Linked DNA regions of Danio rerio. The protein of the gene in region 4 interacts with the protein of the main gene of each other region in a pairwise test. Links are inferred from orthologs where the notes say so. Each region holds a gene or a part of one and is shown on either strand. Other genes may lie near its edges.

Region 1 (3,500 bases), on a different chromosome or scaffold from region 4:
AGCACAGAACAAAATGTTTGACATTACCTCAAAAATGACACATCGAACGACTTTGCCATATTTTTCACACTCTTCTTTCGTCTCAGCTTCCAGGTCTTCATCCACCTCTCCTCTTCCAACCATGTTCTACATATAAGACAATAATTACAACAAATGGTTTTGACCAAACTGACCTGAATATTTCTGAAACTTGCTGTCAAATGTATAGAAGTTAAATGTGAGCAAAAATTACATTAAGTGACAAAAAATAAGACATCTGGTATTAAAATTAATTCCTCATCAAACAAGGCAGCCCAGTTCAGATAACACATGATTTGTGCATTCCTTTCAAATGTTAACTATAATGGAGCGAAAGTTTGTCTTTTTTTGTGTGTGTAAACAATCCAAACAAGGTTGTAATTATTTTATGCTTGTAATTGGTTTATAATAATTAATGTAATTCTGTCCACAGCAAAATCACACCAATAACCCTAAAACAATCCATTATTCCCAAATTGAGCTCAAGTCATCTGGTGAAATACTTAAATACGGGAAAAAAAAAAAAAATATATATATATATATATATATATATATATATATATATATATATATATATATATATATTGCAAAGTCATATATCCATATTTTAAAATATTTACAGTGCCTGTAGAAAATCTTCATACCCCTTGCAAATAAATACTTTATTTGTCATTCATCCTGGAATCAAATCACACTCCAAATAGCCTTTTGTAGACTTCTCCAAACTTAAGCCTTTCTACGTTATCCTGAAGATCTTTTAAAAGCAGGGTGTAATGTATAGATTTTCACAGGGTATGATGATTTTCTATAGGCACTGTATATTTTATATAATTATTTCTATTTTATTTAGGAGAATTGATATAAAACTTACCCGTAGCAACACCACCTTTGTAGGACATTTGAGGATCTCTGTGAGAGGGTTGGTTTCGTTTTTCTTTGAGGCATCTGCTACAAACACATCATATTTCAAATTATAATTATATCATAAAACAGAGTTTCACAAAAGAGTAGACAACCTCTTTTAAACACAATATAACAATTAAACAACATGTTTAGTGAACAAGGTTATTTTAAAATAACTCCGCTCAATAAAATCTAAAAATGCTAATGGAAGTCTGGGTATGGCATTTCATGTGGATTAAAAGCATTGGCAAATATATACTATAACATTCAAAGCTTTTGTATAGTTTTTGTTTCAATCAATAGTGCACAAATTGTTATATAATATTATATTACACTATATTAATATTACCTTTATCAACTACAGCAGATGCTAAAAGCTTTTGTTACAATCACAAATAAAGTAAAAGTATATATAACGAATGCAATGTTACATAATATCACAACATTCTATTATATTTCAATATTCCATTATATTCTAATATTCTTCGATACTACAACCCCAAATTAGAAAAAGTTGGGACAGTATGGAAAACGCAAATAAAAAAAGAAAGTAGTGATTTCCTAATTTTTTTTTTACTTGTATTACATTGCAGACAATATGGACACAAAATATTTCATGTTTTGTCCGGTCAGCTTCATTTCATTTGTAAATGTACATTCTTTCCTGTCAGTCAGATCTGCAACACATTCCAAAAAAAGTTGGGACAGGAGCAATTTAGGACTAGTAGTCAGGTGAACAAGTTATTGATAAGAATGTGATTAGAAACATGTGTTGTCAACAAGTGATTGTAATTATGATTTGGTACAAATCAGCATTCAAGAAAGGTCAAGTCCTACAGGAGCAAAGATTGGCCATGGATTGCCAGTTTGCCAACAAACGTGAGAAAATTAGTAATGTTTAAAAACAAAGTTCCTCAAAGAAAGATAGGAAGATTTGTATGTTTCACCTTTAACAGTGCATAAAATAATTTTAAGATTTAAGGTATCTGGAAGAATTTCAGTGTGTAAAGGACATGGGCACAAGCCTAAGCTGAGGGGTTGTGACAGTACCCTTTGATAAAACTATCAATGCTGAAAAGTAGAGATTTTGGAGCACAATATGTTGCCTTCTTTTCCAGGGATGCTCATGCCCATGTCAACAAGACAACGCAAAACCACATTCTGCACAAATCAAAGTCCTGTCTGCAGTCCCAATTCTCCAAAAGAAAATGTGGTGCATTTTAAAGCACAAAATGCACCAAGTGATGAAGTGTTTCAGTTGTAAATTTATCCCATTTTTCCTCCAAACAAATCTTAAGTGTTGTGAAGAAAGGGCAACATTACAAAATAGTTAATGCTTTTTTGAAATGTGTTGCAAGAACCAAAATTGGAATACATGCTTATTTTGGAAAAAAAAAAAAAAACAAGAAAAATCACAGGCAACCATTATTAAATAAATGTTTGTTGTTTTGTCTGCAACGAAATACAAGTCAAAGTAAATGTAGAAATCACTACTTTCTTTTTTACTTTCATTTTCCATACTGTCGTAACTTTTTCTCATTTGGATTTGTATATTTGATAAGTTTTTACACCTTCAAAAATAATTTTAATATGCTGATTTTATGATTAAATTTCAATGTATTGTTATTTAATCTATTATTATTATTATTGCATGACATATATATATTAGTGCTGTCAAAATTAGTGTGTCAACGCACTATGTTGTTGTGTCAGAATCCTTGTGAAATACAGCAATACTTTAGAACGCTTAGTTTAAGCAAATTTGATGAACGTGATCATGTGTGTTGAATCTGAAGGGAGTCACTCCTGCTGCGCTGTCCTGTGCGAGTTTGTCTGTCTGTCTGTCTTTGTCTCTCTCTCTCTCTCTCTCTGTGTGTGTGTGTGTGTGTGTGTGTGTGTGTGTGTGTGCATGCGCGCACTAAATTAAAAAGTTACGAATTGCCATGAGATTGCGTTGCTCACAGCAATACAACTGAGTGCAATTGTGCAATGAGTGCAATTGTTTGTATTCAATACTTTATTATTGTTATAATAATTTTCCAGTTTCCATATCTGAAATGCCTGAATTGTGGCATTTTTTGCAGTCCACTTAGAATCCAACTTGGAAATTAATGTTTTCTATATTGGTATTGATTGTTTTGAAATTCAAAAGGCATTAACATGCCTGTGTTTAAATTTCTGCATGTCAATGGCTGTCAAGCCAGGATCTTGATGTTTTATTGTGGGTTTGTTGTTTATATAAAGAAATCTGTGTTACAAGTTAAACAAAAATTATAATAACCAATTATATTTTGAATTAAAAAAAAAAAATTCTTGCGTTTACATTAATTTTACATTTGAATAGCCAAAATTACAAGTTTCAGTCTAAATGTGATTAATCCTGATTCATTTTCAAAAAAAGTGTGATTAATTAGTTAAATTTTTTTAATCGATTGACAGCACTAATATATATATATATATATATATATATATATATATATATATATATATATATATTTTTTTTTTTTTTTTTGTCTTTGTTGAATACTAAGCTAAATTATATTCCAATATAATTGGAATATTTTATAACTATAAAATCC
Region 2 (4,220 bases), on a different chromosome or scaffold from region 4:
TACTCGCAAAACAAAGGAACGTTTTGCAAAAAAAAATAATAATAATAAAGTATTGAGCAAAAAATAAATAAAAATAAATGCAAATCTCCAAAAATTGCAAAGTGAAAATCAATTTTTGAGAAATAAAAATTAATTTTGCTAACAAAAATAAAGAACTGCAAAGGGAAAATTAAGTTTTGAGAAATAAAAATTTAATTTGCAAACAAAAAAAAACTGCAAAAAAATCAAGCTATGCAAAATAAAGCTAAAATATTTGCGATAAAAAATATATATTATATATATATATAACTATATATTGGCAACACATTTTTTAAGCATTGCCTTTACAAAACCCGTTTAGTCAATTGCAATGCTCTTTTAGATTTGCTTTTTAGTCAACCGTGAGTTTTCGATGCTGTTTTTACTTTGCACTTCACATTTTTGTGGGTTTCACTTTGTGGCCCTGATTTGACAAGGGGGCGGTGTCTAACTTTGACGTTTACGGCAGGGCCAGACCTGCCTCTATTTACTTTCTATATGGCCCTATATTGACTCCATGGAATTTTCTCAGTATTATAATTACACAAGAGCAAAAAAAAATGTAACTCCGTAATTTAGAGAAAAACTAATTTGGGATAAAATTCCACAAAGTGGCAGGATTTTTAAGATGCTGATTAATCCACTTAATTTTGAATGAATTAACATTAGTAAAACTGATGAAATTAATCAACTTTTCATAATTATTCAAAATTACAGATTTTTTAATATAGTGTTTCTTATTTTTCCATAAAAAAAATTAAACAAGGATTGATCAATTGTCTTAGAAGTCTTGGTATCCACATTGAGTGATTGGGTCTAAAGCAGACCCTCTTCTTTAGAAAAGTAAAGTTCTACCCTTAAGGCATCTCTTGACTACAACTACAGTTGAAGTCAGAATTATTAGCCCCCCTTAGATTTTTTTTCTTTTTAATTATTTTTCAAATAATGTTTAACAGAGCAAGGAAATTTTCAAAGTATGTCTGATAATATTTTTTCTTCTGGAGAAAGGCTTATTTGTTTTATTTCGGCTAGAATAAAAGCAGTTTTTAAATTTTTAACACCATTTTAAGGTCAATATTATTAGCCCCTTTAAGCTATATATTTTTTCGATTGTCTACAGAACAAATCAACTTGCCTAATTACCTTAACCTGCCTAGTTAACCTAATAAACCTAGTTAAGCCTTTAAATGTCACTGTAAGCTGTATAGAAGTGTCTTGAAAAATATTTAGTAAAATATTATTTACTGTCATCATGGCAAAGATAAAATAAATCAGTTATTAGAAAATGAGTTAATAAAACTATCATGTTTAGAAATGTGTTGAAGAAATTTTTTGAGGGCCACCTCACATCTCACCTCACATCTACTCTGAGTACTTTTATTTTGAAATTAGTGTAACCGGTGATGACGTTTATGGTGTTGCTATCTCTTGGACTCGTGCGTTAAGAAGTCGCTCTGCTTAATTAAATGACTACAAAATTCTAACATACACATTTAGTTTACTGTCTTTAGTAACGGAACGCGTTATATCAATGAATGTTCTAATCATGACCGCAAAATAGTACCTGAAACTCTCCTGTTAACGCGTGCACGACGCTGGAAGCGTATGATTTTAAAGCAAAGGCAGCATGACATTCTGACCAAAGTCGTTTGCTTTGGAGTCAAACACACAGCTCATGTGCCCGGTGAAAGAAGAGGAATGTTAGTGAACATCATGCTGAGGGCTTTCAGGTTGTCCAGGCGAGCGTCTGCGGTGTTTCAGTGTCCAGTCCTTCACCCATGTAGAGCTCTGCACTCCAGTCCTGTGAGCTGGGCAGGACACAACAAATGGTCCAAAGTGAAGGATATTAAAATACCCAAAGATGCTGCTCGAGCCCGGGTCATTGCTAAGTACACCATGATGATTAGGATTGCAGTCAGAGGTGAATGCATGATATTTGAGTGAAAGTCCAAGGTCAAGTTGGTTTTAAATTCACACATTTGGACTTTCTCCTTAATGTAGTTTCAGAGAATATTGTTTTTGCCTAAATATGGCTCATATTAGCAGGCAATGACTATTCAAGTACAACATTGCTCATAGTCAAATAAATAATGCTAATGTTGTTTTTAAGTCATATTTACATGTAATTTCAGAACTAATATTCAAATTACCATAGTAAACTATAAAGGGAGCCTCTCACAAGTTGTCACTGAGCAAATGTGCGAATATAAAACCAGCCTATAACGTTAGAGCTAAAGTTGGTTTTATATTCAGATATTCAGACATTCTCCTTAAATATATAATTTCTTTAAAGTATACCTTGCAAATTCTAAATTGGAAAATCATATTAGCGATCGAGTATTAAAAGTAACATGGTAAACAATATAGAGACTGCTAAAATAACTAATATGCAAATTTAAAACCAACTTTACCTCAATAAAAACCCATCACTGGCTAATAATGATGCAATTTGCTGACGTGATGTTATAGTTTCACTGTTCCACCTGACTAAAATGATTGGAATTAGTATTGTCATCATTTAAAAACAAAAAAAGGGTAAACATTTTGTCTTCCATAAGCCTCTTGTTATAAAATAAAAATGCTTTTATGAAATTTTTAGTCAAATCTCAAATCTGTTCTGAGTCTGACTCCTGTCTCTGGAATAGTTTAATAAATTACAGAAAATTTTAAAATGATTAATAAGTAACTTATGTCTAATTTTAGTAAAGCATTAAAAATATCACAATAATTCTTTAGTCTATATGTTTCTATTAATAGTGGCAATTCCACTGAAAATTGTGAATTAGTTGAAGGACCCAGATCATGACCTGCACCAGTTTAATTGTTCTCATATTAACCACTGTTGTTAAGTTTTGTTGTTATTTAGTGTGACACCTGTTTATTAAAAATGTTCGACAAGTCAAGAAAAAAAATCATGATTCATGATTTCATATAAAATAAATGGCACAAAATGAAGCTACAATTCAATAATAAAAAAAAACAGTGAAAGAATTGACAAAGTTGAAAAAAAAAATTGACAAAGACCACTTTTTATTGTTAGACCTCAAACTACATGAATATAAAAAAAAATCTCAAAAACGATTTTGCCAAAAAAAGTTTTTACTACAATAGAGGTTAAGTTAATTTTATATTCGTATATTCATGCATTCTCCTTAAAAATATAATTTCTGAAAAGTATTCTTTGCAAATTCTAAATAAGAAAATCATATTAGCAGCCAATGACTATTAAAAAACAACCATGCTTACAGTCAATTAGATAGTGTTCGTGTTGTTTTCAAGTCATACTTACATGCTAATTCTGATTGAATGTTCAAATTAGCATGGTAAACAATATAGTGACAGTTAAATGAACGAATGTGCGAATTTAAAACCAACTTTACCTCAATTTTACTACATATTTGTCAACTACACATGTACCATAGTAATACTATGGTATACTTCAAAGTACCATGATGCCACTGGGTGATTTTGCAGTGACTCTGTGTTAGATGACCAGGTGTTTTTGTTTCAGAGGGAGGACCCAATCCAGAATTAAATGTTGGACTGGCACAAATTCTAGAGCAGTGCCGGAACAAGAATCTGCCCAAAACCACCATTGAAGGAGCACTAAAGGGAGCCGTAAGACTGTTTTAAATATCTACTACTTGCATAAATAAATGACATTAGGTATTTAACAGGATTTGAAGAAATACTGTAGTTTGCACAAAATATAAGATTCAGTATTTTTTCTTAGCTTCAGTTTTTCCTGTTTTTTTCACAACCCCAAATCAGATGTTTAGTATGCAAAAAGCAAATGAAAAGAAATGATTTCTAAATTTACTTTGACTTTTATTTGATTGCAGACAATACAACAGCACATTATTTAATGTGTTTCTCATGGTTTTTAAAAATAAACACAATCCAATTTTGGTTCTTGTAACATATTTAAAAAAAAGGTTGGGACAGTAAAGCATTTACCACTTTGTAATGTTGCCATTCCTTTTTACAACACTTAAAAGACATTTAGCGACTGAAGACACCAAGTGATGAAGTGTTTCAGCTGTAAGTTTCTCCCATTCTTCCTGCAAACATGTCTTTAGGTGTGCAATAATACAGGGTCTTCATTGTCCCATTTTGCGCTTTAAAAATGCACCACACATTCTCTATTGGAGACAGGTCGGGACTGTAGGCAGGCCAGTCACGTACCTGTATCTTCTTCCTTT
Region 3 (2,492 bases), on a different chromosome or scaffold from region 4:
CTCATATTATCTTTGTGAAGGCAACTTGTTGCTTTTAAAGGAATTGGTTTACTGGCTTTTGGTACAGTTACTTTTTACAGTGTATGCACTGTAAAGAAATGCTGGGTTCCACACAATTCCTTCATGTTGTTCCAACACAAATCAATTAAGTTGAAATAGTGGTTTTCACAAATTTAAGTGGACTGAACATAAAACAATTAAGTTGTCCCAAAACAAACTTAAGAATTGTGTTGTTTCAACTCATTTTGAATACGTAGTTTGAACAAGCAGCAAAAGCAGTGTAAATTGATTGCAACAATTTAGCAAAAATCGTATTTTTCAGTGTAGCATGTCATGACAAAATCTCAGTTTACTGCAGATTAAACGGTCATTATCTTGTCTAGAAAAATCAGTAATAGTTATTATGACATCAGAAAAATGAAGCTCAGCACACTTCATGAGCAAATGAGGATTTTTGGATTCCAAGGGAACACAGCACAGTCAGTCGTCTCTCTGACAATAAGCCCCTTGTTGCTAAGCAATTCAAGGCATTGTTGATGTATTATTATGAAACAAGAAAACATGAGATCTGAAATCACATGCCTGCTGAGATCACGTGGAGCACCTGTTTCTGGGCCTGACAGGCAACTAGCGGGTCCACGCAGATGCATAAACACCTGCGCACATGCGTAAACATCTGGACGGCGTGTAAATCTGAGCATGAGTAATGACAGCGTGACTGAGTGACTGAACTGAGTCTTGATGCAGCAGAAAACACTTACCTGGGTTTGCGATGCACCGCGCATGCTCAGTGGTCATCGTGCACTCCTTTGAGACGAGGATTCGCTGTGCATGAAGTCCACCAAGTTCATGTTCCCATCAGTGCTGTAGATTTCCGCCAGCATTTTAATAAAGGGATGCATTGTCATTTGGTAAAGGGATGAAGACAAGATAGTTGCATGAAGCATTCCCCTTGAAATTAACTCCCAAGACAGTAACTTGAAAACAGTGGCCAAACTGATCCTTCAAGCCACGGTGTCGGTGTGGACTCTGTTGTACAAGGTGTTTTACTTTGTGAGACAATGCAAACCGGTTATTTTGGACTCTGTATGTGATAATGCTGCGAAAGAATGACGCCTAGATCGCGTGATGGATGAACTGTAGTGTGGTGTGGATCTTGTGCTAATGAACAAAAACGAACATGATTGGTTTGTTTTCAATACTCACAAAAGGGACCGACTATAATGACTCTTTAGTCACTTTGGACGATGCACAAATAACTACACAGGGTGTGCTAAAAGGGTTTTTTACCAGAGTGTAGTACATACTGAATACTGCCATGCGGACACATGTTTGCCACAATGGGATTTTTAAGATAACATAGCCTTAAGTTATGCAACATGCTGCTCTCCAATTAATTCTAATAGTGAAACAAATTCCTTCCTGTTAGCTGAATTGGTCGTGGACAGCGTATGTTTGCTATTGTTTGGAATTAATTATAAATGCAATTTAAAACATGATTGCTATGGGGTCGTTTCTCTCTCTAGCTCAGTGTTTCTTTCCTCTGCATTAAAGTGGGAGACTAGAACATAATTGATGATAGTGCAAACGATTTAAACGTTATTGCATAATAGCATTAGATAAGAACTCGCCTCTTTTTCCTACAATTACTGACAAATGTAACTCATAAAGTGCCTATGCAAGTTCCTTCATTTAATGAACCGGGAGTCGTTCGGTTCTGTCAACTGAACTGAACAGGCGGGCAGATAGAGACACCTCTCCACGTCACGTAAAGCTGGTGATTTTTGCGTTGCCTGTCATGTGATTACAGGGTATGTTTCTCTACAAAAGTAGCCAGCCACATTGCAAAAAAGTTTCAGCTCAGGTCCAGAACTTAATGTGTGTGAGACAGTGTGTCTGCGCACGCGCGTACTGTGTGTGTCTTCAAGTTGTGCATGTGTGTGCTGTTAACTGATTCATTTGTGCAGTCATCATGATGAAAGGTCATCGTTCTTCCATAATCATACATCTGTCTGTAGGGTTCGTGAATGTGAACTGTTTTTCCCGCCTAAGTCAGTACCGTTCCCTCTGCTCGGGCTCTGCGTGTCACCCCCGCACAGAGATTCCGTCACGCCCTCCTCCATCTCCATGTACTCCGCAGCCTTGTCACCTAAAGATGAGCCCGATGGGGACCCCTTGAATTTTCTCAGGAAATCCGGAAAGTAGGGGCAACCCGGTGGGGGTTGTTCCACGGCGGGCGCCTGGTCCTCGTTATCAGTCTCCCGGTGGTAGAAGTAGTTGAAGTTAGACACGATGACGGGGACTGGAAGCGCAATGGTCAGGACGCCGGCGATGGCGCACAGCGAGCCCACGATTTTGCCCCCGACCGTGATGGGCTTCATGTCACCGTAGCCCACCGTGGTCATGGTCACCACAGCCCACCAAAACGCATCTGGGATGCTGGTGAACTGTGACGTGGGCTCGTCCGCCTCTGCGAAGTACACCGCGCTGGA
Region 4 (4,257 bases):
GTGATCATTATTTTAAGTATTGTGACACAGTTCCTAGAGAAACCGAATTTTAAATGAGCAAACAGTGGGCATTGCTTGTTTTGTTTTGTTTTTATCGCAGGCTAAATGGATGTAGTAAAGGGTTTTTAGAAGAGTTATTACAACTTAACAGACTCCTCCTCACCATTTGTTTGTTGTCAAAACTGACAGTTGAACCAGCCTGATTAAATATGTTAGCCACGCCCATTACCTCTAAGTAATGTAATATGATAATTTAACTGTAAACAAACAGGAAGTGCATTTTCAGATTTTCATTAAAGATCAGAAGGGCAAACATTTTTTTCTTAATGACATGCACAGATAAATTGTTCACCACAAAACTGGCAATGTGAGCTAACAAAATCCTATGATTAGTTTTGATTTCTTGGGGACTTTAAATGTATAGTTACACTGCAAAATAAAGTGTGACAAATATTTATCCAATATGTTTAAAATGCAGAACAATGTGACTGAAGTTTTATTATTTAAAAAGTTGTGTCATTTGATTAATTTGGACTTGCAGAAAACAACACGGATGTTTCAGGTGTAAAGTGCGTTTTTTTAAATAAGAGAAAAGTTCTAAAACTACACATATTAAGTGTAATTACACTTGTGTACTGTTCAAATTGACTACCCTTTGGTTATGTTGGTGGCTGTTTTTGCTCCACTGACTTCCATTATAACGACATTTTTTTATTGCAAAGCCATGGCACCAAATAATCGTGCATTCTTGATCGTTGGTGTTTTCCCCTGTTTGGATGAGATAAATCTTTATATTTTTACTGTTGATCATCAGTTAAAAGCATAAACTCTTTAGATAGACCTGTGCAAAAAAGTTTCTGACTTTTCTATGGAGGAAAACAGCAGATTATAGTGTGCGTGCATAAATACACTTGATATAAGTACTAGTATATGTTCTGAGAACTCAGCTGCTTATTTTTGTATTTTCTCAAACATAAAGGTAAGTGCGCAAAGGTCTCTTTCACACACACACACACACACACACACACACTATACTTCATACAACGATATAACTTTTGTCCAGAAAATAAGTTTTTTTTGCTCTGCAACTGATGATCAACAGTAAAAATTTGTACATTTACCTCTTTCCAACAGGGAAAACCACCAACAATCAAAAAGCATGATTACAAAATGTACTTATAATGAGAGTCAATTCGGCAAAAACAGCCAAGAACATAACAAAAGGGTAGTACATTTGGCCAGAGTGTATTATTGAATTTTTGAAAATATTTTAAAGCATTTTCCCAAAATATGTGTCTAAATAAGATGTCACCAAAAATCATTCCATTTGCTGAAACGCAGAGAAAATTGTGGCTAAATTAAGACTCAAAATCACCCCAGAGTGAATGAAAACATCCCCAACAGCACACATGGGTTAATGTGCATCTGACACGTATTATATTTGGTAGTCCTATTAAAGGGATTGTGTAACCAAACATTTAAATTTACACACCAAGTTGCATACACTTTTTTTCTCCTGCTAAGTTAAAAAGACATTTTAAAGAAAGCTGGAAACTGGTAACCGTCTGACTTATATTGTAGAACAAACAAATACTATGGAGGTCAATGGTTACAGCTTTTCTGGTTGTTTCACCTTTTGTGTTCAGCAGAAAGAAACTGAAACAAGTTTTTAACAAGGGTTAGTAAATATTGACAAGTTTATGTTTTGGGTGAACTATCCCTTAAAGCCAGGTTATTCAAATGTATTTATTTTTTTATTTGTTTGTAAATATTTTTTTTTTTACAAGTGAAAGGTGAGTAAATAATGACAGACCTTTCTGTTTTGGGTTAACTACCACTTTAAGCTAGTGGATTACAGTTTTTATTAATTATTTTGGCAAAAAAAAAAAAGACATTCACATGCATACAAATTTTTTAAAGTACTGTAAGTAAAAATAAGTATTTTAGTAAAATACGTATTTTAAAACATTTAGCTAAAATATAAGTTATATATAACAAACTTCTTCTAGTGAACCCCCCAAAAAACGAACTATTTGGATATTCAACAGGTTAAAGTCAGTGTTTTACCTTCGACTTTCTGATGCTCGGCTGACACGTCTGCGACCACACAGTGGTAAAACGGGTGCTCTCCGAAACCGTCCTCGAGCAGATCTAAACACAAAACTATTGTTGTAACTGTGGGCAAAATATTGATCAGATCTCACATCAGACACGTTGACGGACCTCACCTTTCTCAGTTATAAGAACTTGGTCTTCCATTTCTTCATACTTCGCGAGTTCCTGCAGAAGTTAGTAAAGAAAAGATGCTTTCAGAACAGTTGGACGAACACCAAGTCCTGTAGGCGGTTGGCCTATAGGGGTTGTTGTCATAGAAGGGCATATTTGGATATTTTGTAACCATTTGAACATAATAAATCAAAATAAGTGTGACAATAACTTTTTAAATTAGTACTTAGGAGAGGACATCAAAACGGGAATATTTATGCACTTGTTAAAGAAGTTTCGACAGAATATTCTGTAGTCCGAATATATATATATATAAATTGTACAATTCTACCTTTATGAGTCGCAATATGTCAGGCACGTCTTTGGGCTCCGCTTTACGCAAATTAAAATTGGCCATTTTCTTCTTTTACTCTTTTTCCCTTTTCTCACTAGTCCTCTATATGTGAAGTGAAGCAAAAGGTGTTTCTTCATTCGCTGTCCCGGGTTTTACCCTGCGCTGTCAAGTTTGGGCTTCTCCTGTGTGGGACTCGCATGCAGCAACTGACCCGGCGGATTTCACCTGGCTTCAGTAAATGTCCTTTGTTTATCAATGTCGAGCATATATTTGCCGGCGGGGAGGGGTTTAATCACCATAATAACGTTTTTTTCCTTTCGCGAACCAATAGGAGGTGTCCATTTGAGGTTCGTCATGACGCACAGCCCTTGTTGATGAATATGTATAAGTAAGATCAAAATACTGTAGGAATGTTGTTGCTCTTGGTGAATATACGTTAGTTTGAACGACATTTCCTTCATAATGATGCAGAAAAGATTAAAGTTCATGTCAAACGTTGTTTGAAGAGCGTTTCTCAAAACTTTATATGTCCCGCTTATCACACTGAAAACATTCAAAACTATGTCGTATTTACGGTAAAGGTTGAACCGTTAAGTGAAGGAAAATTCCTTAAAGATGCGCTTTTGTTATGGTTAATGCGGTAGTTAAGCCGCACCCACCACTATACGTTTCAGGAAATGCGAATCACTGCCCAGAAGGCTGACATCTCTGCTAGAAGCGTGCGGTTGTTTATATCAGCAAAAATCCGTGTTATTATACAATAAAGTGGTGAGCCAAGAACAAGGAAGATGCTTTCTCCGCGGTGAGTTTCACAATTATGTCTTGCGTCCCGCTTTTGTTGTGTACATCATTTGTGAGTCATGAATGAAGAGTTACAGACTAGTTCTGTCTCATTTTGTTCATCTTTTTATTGTAATTTTATTACGTGGCTATCAGTAGTTTTGTAATGTCCCCATAGACACGAATTTACACGTTTTTTATTCTTTATAGGGTCCTGAAGTCTGCATCGTCCCTGATGTGTAGAGGATTTTCTATGGGGCAAATGTGTAGACAAGGGAAAGCACCTGATATGGCAGATGGTATTTTTATATATATAAAAATGAATAAGTCATTCATTCATTCATTTTCTTTTCGGCTTAGTCCCTTTATTGATCTGAGGTCGCCACAGTGGAATGAACCACCAACTTATGCAGCATGTTTTTACGCAGCGGATGCCCTTCCAGCCGCAACCCATCTTTGGGAAACATCCACACACACTCATTCACACTCATACACTACAGACAATTTAGCCTACCCAATTCACCTGTACCGCATATCTGTGGACTGTGGGGGAAATCGGAGCACCCGGAGGAAACCCATGCGAACGCAGGGAGAACATGCAAACTCCACACAGAAACGCCAACTGACCCAGCCGAGGCTCGAACCAGCAAGCTTGCTTGCTGTGAGGCGACAGCACTACCTACTGCGCCACTGCGTTGCCTGAACAAGTTTTACACATACGCATATATAAATACATATACATGCATTAATACACAGCTATTGAAAAAGTTTCTTTAGAATTATTGTGGGCTAGAGTAAAATGTTCATTCATTCATTCAGATGCCCTTCTAGCTGCAACCAAACACTGGGAAACATCCATACTCTTGCACCCCAAAGGCATGTAGGTGAAGGTGAATTGGATAAACTAAATTGGCCGT
Region 5 (2,279 bases), on a different chromosome or scaffold from region 4:
TCCCCAACACACCAGGTAAACAACAAAAACCAATTAAAAAAACAGAATAATGAAATAATAATGGGTCTCCTTTACTAAACATCCCTGTGCACAAATTATCAAAAACAAACAGTTGTGTGAAAAGCTCTTATATTGAGAGTGTATTATTCAAATTACTAACAGATAAAAGAAGTTTAAAGTTGGTATGAAACTTTAAGAACAACATATGCACGTGTTGTATGAAAAACGTACGCACTTATTGGATACAAGACACAAATGGCCTTTTAGGCAATAATATAAAATTGTTTGTGCTGCAGGTGTACAGTGCTGTATGGAAGGAGAAGGCTGTGTTAGTGAAGTGTGGGATTGAAGAGAGCATTAGAGGAGAAAATGGTCTTGATTCTCCATTACGACATGACAACAACCTCTACGACAAACCCACTCGCGGAACGTCCATGGATGAATTCAGAGCGATGCTGCATGCCTTCCTCAAGGTACCTCAATCTACTAGAATTCAGGATATAGTAGCGTGCTCGTTCCTGGAAGAATACTCAGGACTACATTTAAGGCATTTGCATTCATTGAAAAAGAGTGTTCAGGCCCTGGTATACTTCAAACTGTTATTTTTTGTTTGAGGCCAAAAAGAAGTTGAGTAAGTATACTGTTTTTAAACCTTCTGACAGCCCTTTGCTGCAGTAGGGGTTGTAAATGTCTCACACCGCTCAAGTGGACTCCTAAACACAACAACAATGGTAATACTGTGATGGTATGTTCACACCAGATGTAGATGAACCATAAAGCACAAGTGATTTGCATGTTAAGTCAATGCAGAGACGCCATCAGATGTGCGAATTCGCACGAATTGAGAATTTCGGGTGTTTGACATGCAAATCACTCTAGTTGAAAAATTAGAACTGTGGCAGATTTCATACCATGTTAACCAATCAGAAGCTTGCTTTAGTGGGGGCGTGATTATGATGTAGCGTTTGCAGTTGGTGTCCCAAAGGAAAAAACCCTGCCGACAAGGGACAACAGGTCATCAAATTCAGTCAGAAGTACCATTGAAAGTGTCTGTCATCCAGGTGCAGCTTCTGAATGAGTTGATGAACCCACAGAGCTAGGTGCACCTCCAAAGGATCCGATGTACCAAGACACAGCGCCGAATGAATATATGTTGTTTTTCAGCCTTCCTAAGACACTATTAATCTTTTGATAAAATCCATGGTAGCCATTAGCAATGAAACTGGAGTTGTCGGCCGACAGACACTCCTGCCATGACGCAAAGCCGCATCTGTCTTGAAGTGAATTTTACACGCGAATAAAGCGAGTAAACTTAAAATGTTCACGCATCTAATTACATGTGAATAGTACAACATGTTTGTGCAAGCCACATCGAGAGAAGTCAGCTGAGGTGGCTCAGGCATCCGTTTCGGATGCTTCCTGCACGCCTACCTAGGAAGGTGTTCCAGGCTTGTCCCAACCCGGAGGAGGCCTCAGGGAAGATCTAGGACACACTGCAGGGACTATGTCTCTTGGCTGGCCTGGGAACGCCTAGGGATCCCCCCGGGGGAGCTGGAGACTTCTGCCCCCGCAACCCGGCCCCGGAAAAACAAATGAAAATGAGATGAGATTTGTGCAATCAGTACCAGCTTTTTGACTTGACTCTCCAGTTTGTTCATGTTGCTAATTTAGGGTGCTTTCACACCTACACTTTTGTTTCGGAACCTGTCTCGTTTGCCCAGTTAGCGCAGTTCGTTTGGCATATGTGAATCCACCAATCGCTCTCTGATTCGCGCCAAATCAATTGCTCCGAGATCGCTTGAATGAGGTGGTCTCGTCTCGATTGAAACGAACTAAGGAGCGGATCGATTGCAGTGAGAAAGCAAACGATCCGAGCGCGGTTACATCACAGTGTTTTATGGATATGTAATAGGCAGACGGCTATATGAAGAGAGAATTATGAGTAGGGCGGGAAGTTTCGCGAGTCTCTGGATGCCCGCAAACAAGTGATAATCTCCCGGTAATCGCGCATCTCCCTCTCTTCGCGTGCACCTTGTCAAACACCACCAAACCACCACCTCTCCTGACAGCTGAGCGGGACTCTGCAAAATAAACCCCGACACTCTGACCAATGTGAGGAGAGTTTACTCACACGTGACTTGTTTTAGCTCTTTTGGTCCGATTGGAAACTTTGCAGTGTAAAAGCGAATGGCTCCAAGAGCAACAATGTAACATTTGTAATCTCTGTTTTGGAACAACTGAATCGATTCACGGGTGTGAAAGCATCCTTAGTTTCATTG
Region 6 (4,145 bases), on a different chromosome or scaffold from region 4:
TAGAGCAGATCCTCGAATCAAATATCTCGTTTGTCGCGAGGGGCATGAACGAATTCCCTGAATGAAAGAGCCAAACTGCAGTTAAAGTCCACCATTTAATAATTTGGCAAATAATTCCACTACAGATGTCCATGTAGGTTAAACACCATCTCTTTCTCCTGTGTGTAAGTATTTTGACTGAAACTTGCGCGTGCCCAAATAGACACTCCCACACCCTCCCACTTTAGTTCCTCCGACACTCCCCCCTAAACAGAGCTGGACACGCCCACTTTTCTGACTTTTTCCAAAGTAGAGGTGTGAAAACACCCTGCTGAAACGAGGGGGTTTCATGGCCCTTTAAGGCACTGTTGATGGCTTTCTTAAAAGAGCGCTGATTTACTGAGAACAAACACAGATGAGCCGAGCGATCTGTTCAATGACTCGATCTTGATCTTCACGGCTGCTTCGCGCTCCAGTCTCTGTGTATCTGTGTTTGCACTGGGTGAAGACCAGTAAACTTAGTGCAAACACAAATACACGGAGACTGGAGTACGAAGCGGCCCTTTAACGTTAGCCAGTTTTAAAAGACAACACTATTACAGACAACATGAGGGTGTGCTATAGAGGGCTGCAGTGTTTTATCGCTCACCGTGTTACATAGGCTGAAGCAGGAAAGCGTCCACACGGTGTTTAACTGATGCCATGAATTGAAGCCTAGCAGGAAACTTGAGCATATTACTCTTACAGAGATTGTAATGTTGTTTGATGCCTAATTTGCTTTTAATTATTTAAATTAAACTTACTCAATAATATTAAAGTGATGGTTACCCCATTTCTGCATTTTAAAATCGCGACAACAGCTAGAGTTTTGTAGTCCACAGCATGTTGCTGCAATGTTTACAGTGTTAGTCATATACTTCCGAGTTTCTTCCCACCGCATCCTCACTTTGGTTCTTTAAAATGTCGGCCACGTGAAATAAGCGTATAAATGCTTATGTTGATGCTTTAAGTTTTTAAAGGTACAGTTCTGACTGTATGTATTAAAGGACAAAATTGTATTACAAACAATATTTATATATTTTCATTCAATTTTCTTGTGCTGTGAAGTAAAATATAAAATTGTGTATATAAAGCGTAGTCAACACACCATGGTGCACTGAGATATCAAATTAAACTGAATCGATGGCATGATAATCGTAACTGAACTTTGAGACCAGTGTATGTTCACACCTCTACAAAATAGACACGTCAATTGTTTTTTTTTTAAATAATAATTTAACATTAATCTGGCCAGTTAACGGTTAATATTCAGCTTACAAACAGTGGTTGTGGGTTGGCAAAATTAGCTGAAATAAGCATACCTAACAAGAACAATTGTGTTGCCAAGTAAAATATCAAAATGTTTATGGAAAGCATCTCCAATGCACTGAGATTACATGATACCGAACAAATTACATGATAATCGTAAATGAAGTAAACCATGAGACCAGTATAGACCAATTATCAACCTACGTCACGCATGACGTCACACGGGTCCCCGGTTGCAAAAATAGACAGGCTGCAATAGTAAACATGTCGTGTTGTGCCAAATTTGAATAGAAAACTTAACTTTTACCATACACCACACTGCTTTAATGCCAACTGCAGAAGTTTGGCTAGAAGAGAGCTGAATGAAGTGACGACCTTATTAGAAATGCTGGACTCTGCTACGCTGAATCATACAAATTACTCATTTTTGATTGCAGAAATGATTTCAGCAAAAACAGTTACATATGGTAAATTAAACTGCGGACACTAAATGCAAAGAATGAAACGTGAAAGTGTAAGTTATTAAGGTAAACTCAGTTTTATATTTACACATTCATTTAGTGACAAGTTGTGACACACTCCCTATATTGTTTACCATGGCATTTTGAATATTCGGTCTGAAATAACCTGCAAGTAGAACTTGAAAACAACAATAACACTGTTTATATGACTGTGAACACTTTGATAGTCATTGTCTGCTAATATGATTTCACTCTTTAGGGCATAGCATCCTGAATGTTTACAATCATGGCAATTGGTCTATAAGTTCACATCCCTAGACTGAACAGTAGAACCAGCTCATTTGCATTTGAAGGCACAGGTTACAAATACAGCTATAATTTCCTTGTACCCTAAATTTATACTTAAATTTACTCAAAGACACAATCTGGAGACACCAAAGACTTATCTTACATCTTGTAAAAAGGGTAAAATAGGAGAAATTTAAAGATATTTTTTATTTTTTTAACCATTATTATTATATTATACATAATACATTATTATTATTATTATTATTATTATTATTATTAGTGCATACTTAAAATGTTAATAATAATGGGAAGTATTATTTAATTTAACTTTTTTATGTTGCATCGCAAGAATTTTTCAGAATTATTACTTGTTTGTTATTATTATTTCTTTTTCTATTAAGGTGAAACAACCAAAAGAATTTTGCACCAGCCATAATCAATTCAGTATTACCATTTTCAAGTAATGCCATTTGATCATGTCACTCACTGCATTGTGATAATATAATATGCATAGTGTTACCAGTTCAAATAAGCTGCTGAAGTTCCTCGGTTTACGGGTTGTTTGTTCGGCAATCTTCATCTGCTCTTCTTCATCTTTGTCATCTTCCTTAATAAGCTCGTGCTCTTGTAACACGGCCTGAGCGCGTTGTTCGCCCTTCAGCCTACGTAGAGCGCGACTCGACATGTTGGACGTCAGCACAACTTATCAATAACCACGAATCTAGCCCATAGGAACTAGCGCACTCGTTTCACAAACTTGCACTGAAACAAACAGGCTTACTAGTCCTCTACCCCTTCCTGGTCTTCTTCTTCGTTTAGCTTAAAGGCGAGTTGTAAGGTAACACTCAATAGGGCGCTGCCACCTACTGCGATGGAGTATGAAGATATGACATCAACCCAGAATATCTTTCTATAAATAGTACAATGAAAAAATAAGACAATTAGTTTTTTTTTCATTACAAGTTTCACAGGAGTAGTCCATCTTTATTTTAAAAATGTTCCAATATATGTTTCACAGGATAAATTCTTTCTTTGTAATAAAGAAAATGATGTTTATAACATTGCTTAGAATTTATCAACTAATGTTTAAGCCTTACACAACATTAAGTCTGCAAGTACTAATGACCAAAAAAAAAAAATATATGTATCAAGCTGTAGGATAAAACATCATTTACTAAATTTTTTATGCATTTATTTGGATTGCTGTCTTTTAAAATATTCAAATTTGCTATGAATATTGTCTTAGTTATATTATTCAAATTAGTTTTTTGCTGCAATCGTTTATAAGAAGAGATTTAATACATTTTGAGGTAGCCTAAAATTCATTATAATTGCATAATCTCTGGGCATAATTGCAATTTTAATTTTGTCAAAAATTTGTGTATGATAACATTACTATTGATCAACTGACTGACCAAAAGTATATGGTTTTAAAACCAGTTATATAAAATGTTTCTGTTATTCCAAATGTAATACATTAGAGTGGAAATATGCTTGGGCCAACGTCCACTTAATGAGAGCTTGTTGATGAAATCTTGCCAATTGAATCTCAATATTAACTTTAAATTTATCTGTCAATACAATGATTAGCCTACACTATAAAAAAGTAAATCAAAACCACCTAATGACTTAAACAAGAAATTTGGCAATGTGTAAGAACATTAGTTGAAGTCAGAATTATAAGCCCCCATTGGATTTTTTAAAAATATTTCCCAAATGATGTTTAACAGAGCAAGAAAATTTTCAAAGTATGCCTGATAATATTTTTCTTCTGGAGAAAGCCTTATTTGTTTTATTTTGGCTACAATAAAAACAGATTTAATTTTTTTATAAACCATTTTGAGGGCAAAATTATTAGCCCTTTTAAGCTAAAATTTTTTTTCATCGAATTAGTCTACAGAACAAACCATAGTTATACAAAAACTTGCCTAATTACCCTATCCTGCCTAGGTAACCTAATTAACCTAGTTAAGCTTAAATGTCACTCTGAGCTCTTTAGTGTCTTGAAAAATATCTTGTCAAATATTATTTACTGTCATCATGGCAAATATAAAATAAATTAGTTATTATAAATGTGTTATTAAAACTATTATGTTTACAAATGTGTTG

The links.
Region 1: the proteins of sat1b (region 4) and rbm17 interact in binary tests that used the Homo sapiens proteins (3 or more experiments, as listed by UniProt). The two-hybrid records come from large-scale screens. The link is inferred for Danio rerio from reciprocal best matches to the Homo sapiens genes SAT1 and RBM17.
Region 2: the proteins of sat1b (region 4) and taco1 interact in binary tests that used the Homo sapiens proteins (3 or more experiments, as listed by UniProt). The two-hybrid records come from large-scale screens. The link is inferred for Danio rerio from reciprocal best matches to the Homo sapiens genes SAT1 and TACO1.
Region 3: the proteins of sat1b (region 4) and kcna4 interact in binary tests that used the Homo sapiens proteins (3 or more experiments, as listed by UniProt). The link is inferred for Danio rerio from reciprocal best matches to the Homo sapiens genes SAT1 and KCNA4.
Region 5: the proteins of sat1b (region 4) and dipk1b interact in binary tests that used the Homo sapiens proteins (3 or more experiments, as listed by UniProt). The two-hybrid records come from large-scale screens. The link is inferred for Danio rerio from reciprocal best matches to the Homo sapiens genes SAT1 and DIPK1B.
Region 6: the proteins of sat1b (region 4) and tcf25 interact in binary tests that used the Homo sapiens proteins (3 or more experiments, as listed by UniProt). The two-hybrid records come from large-scale screens. The link is inferred for Danio rerio from reciprocal best matches to the Homo sapiens genes SAT1 and TCF25.

The regions. Positions count from the first base shown.
Region 1 is NC_133179.1:26,155,775-26,159,274, forward strand, and holds part of rbm17 (splicing factor 45), read right to left. Parts: intron 967-3,500; coding exon of another isoform or gene 964-966; coding exon 890-963; intron 127-889; coding exon 28-126; intron 1-27. UniProt on the Homo sapiens protein: Splice factor that binds to the single-stranded 3'AG at the exon/intron border and promotes its utilization in the second catalytic step. Involved in the regulation of alternative splicing and the utilization of cryptic splice sites.
Region 2 is NC_133187.1:9,860,724-9,864,943, forward strand, and holds the start of taco1 (translational activator of cytochrome c oxidase 1), read left to right. Parts: upstream 1-1,420; 5' UTR 1,421-1,623; coding exon 1,624-1,939; intron 1,940-3,529; coding exon 3,530-3,636; intron 3,637-4,220. UniProt on the Homo sapiens protein: Acts as a translational activator of mitochondrially-encoded cytochrome c oxidase 1.
Region 3 is NC_133182.1:32,643,678-32,646,169, forward strand, and holds part of kcna4 (potassium voltage-gated channel subfamily A member 4), read right to left. Parts: coding exon 2,001-2,492; 3' UTR 762-2,000; intron 1-761. UniProt on the Homo sapiens protein: Voltage-gated potassium channel that mediates transmembrane potassium transport in excitable membranes. Forms tetrameric potassium-selective channels through which potassium ions pass in accordance with their electrochemical gradient.
Region 4 is NC_133199.1:25,853,383-25,857,639, reverse strand, and holds the start of sat1b (diamine acetyltransferase 1b), read right to left. Parts: upstream 2,801-4,257; 5' UTR 2,624-2,800; coding exon 2,558-2,623; intron 2,281-2,557; coding exon 2,229-2,280; intron 2,152-2,228; coding exon 2,068-2,151; intron 1-2,067. Other genes in the region: acot9.1 (acyl-coenzyme A thioesterase 9, mitochondrial), read left to right, coding at 3,349-3,362, 3,551-3,639. UniProt on the Homo sapiens protein: Enzyme which catalyzes the acetylation of polyamines. Substrate specificity: norspermidine = spermidine >> spermine > N(1)-acetylspermine. This highly regulated enzyme allows a fine attenuation of the intracellular concentration of polyamines.
Region 5 is NC_133196.1:8,505,297-8,507,575, reverse strand, and holds part of dipk1b (divergent protein kinase domain 1B precursor), read left to right. Parts: coding exon 1-15; intron 16-296; coding exon 297-473; intron 474-2,279.
Region 6 is NC_133193.1:32,710,062-32,714,206, reverse strand, and holds the start of tcf25 (ribosome quality control complex subunit TCF25), read right to left. Parts: upstream 2,801-4,145; 5' UTR 2,722-2,800; coding exon 2,557-2,721; intron 268-2,556; exon of another isoform or gene 138-267; intron 1-137. UniProt on the Homo sapiens protein: Component of the ribosome quality control complex (RQC), a ribosome-associated complex that mediates ubiquitination and extraction of incompletely synthesized nascent chains for proteasomal degradation.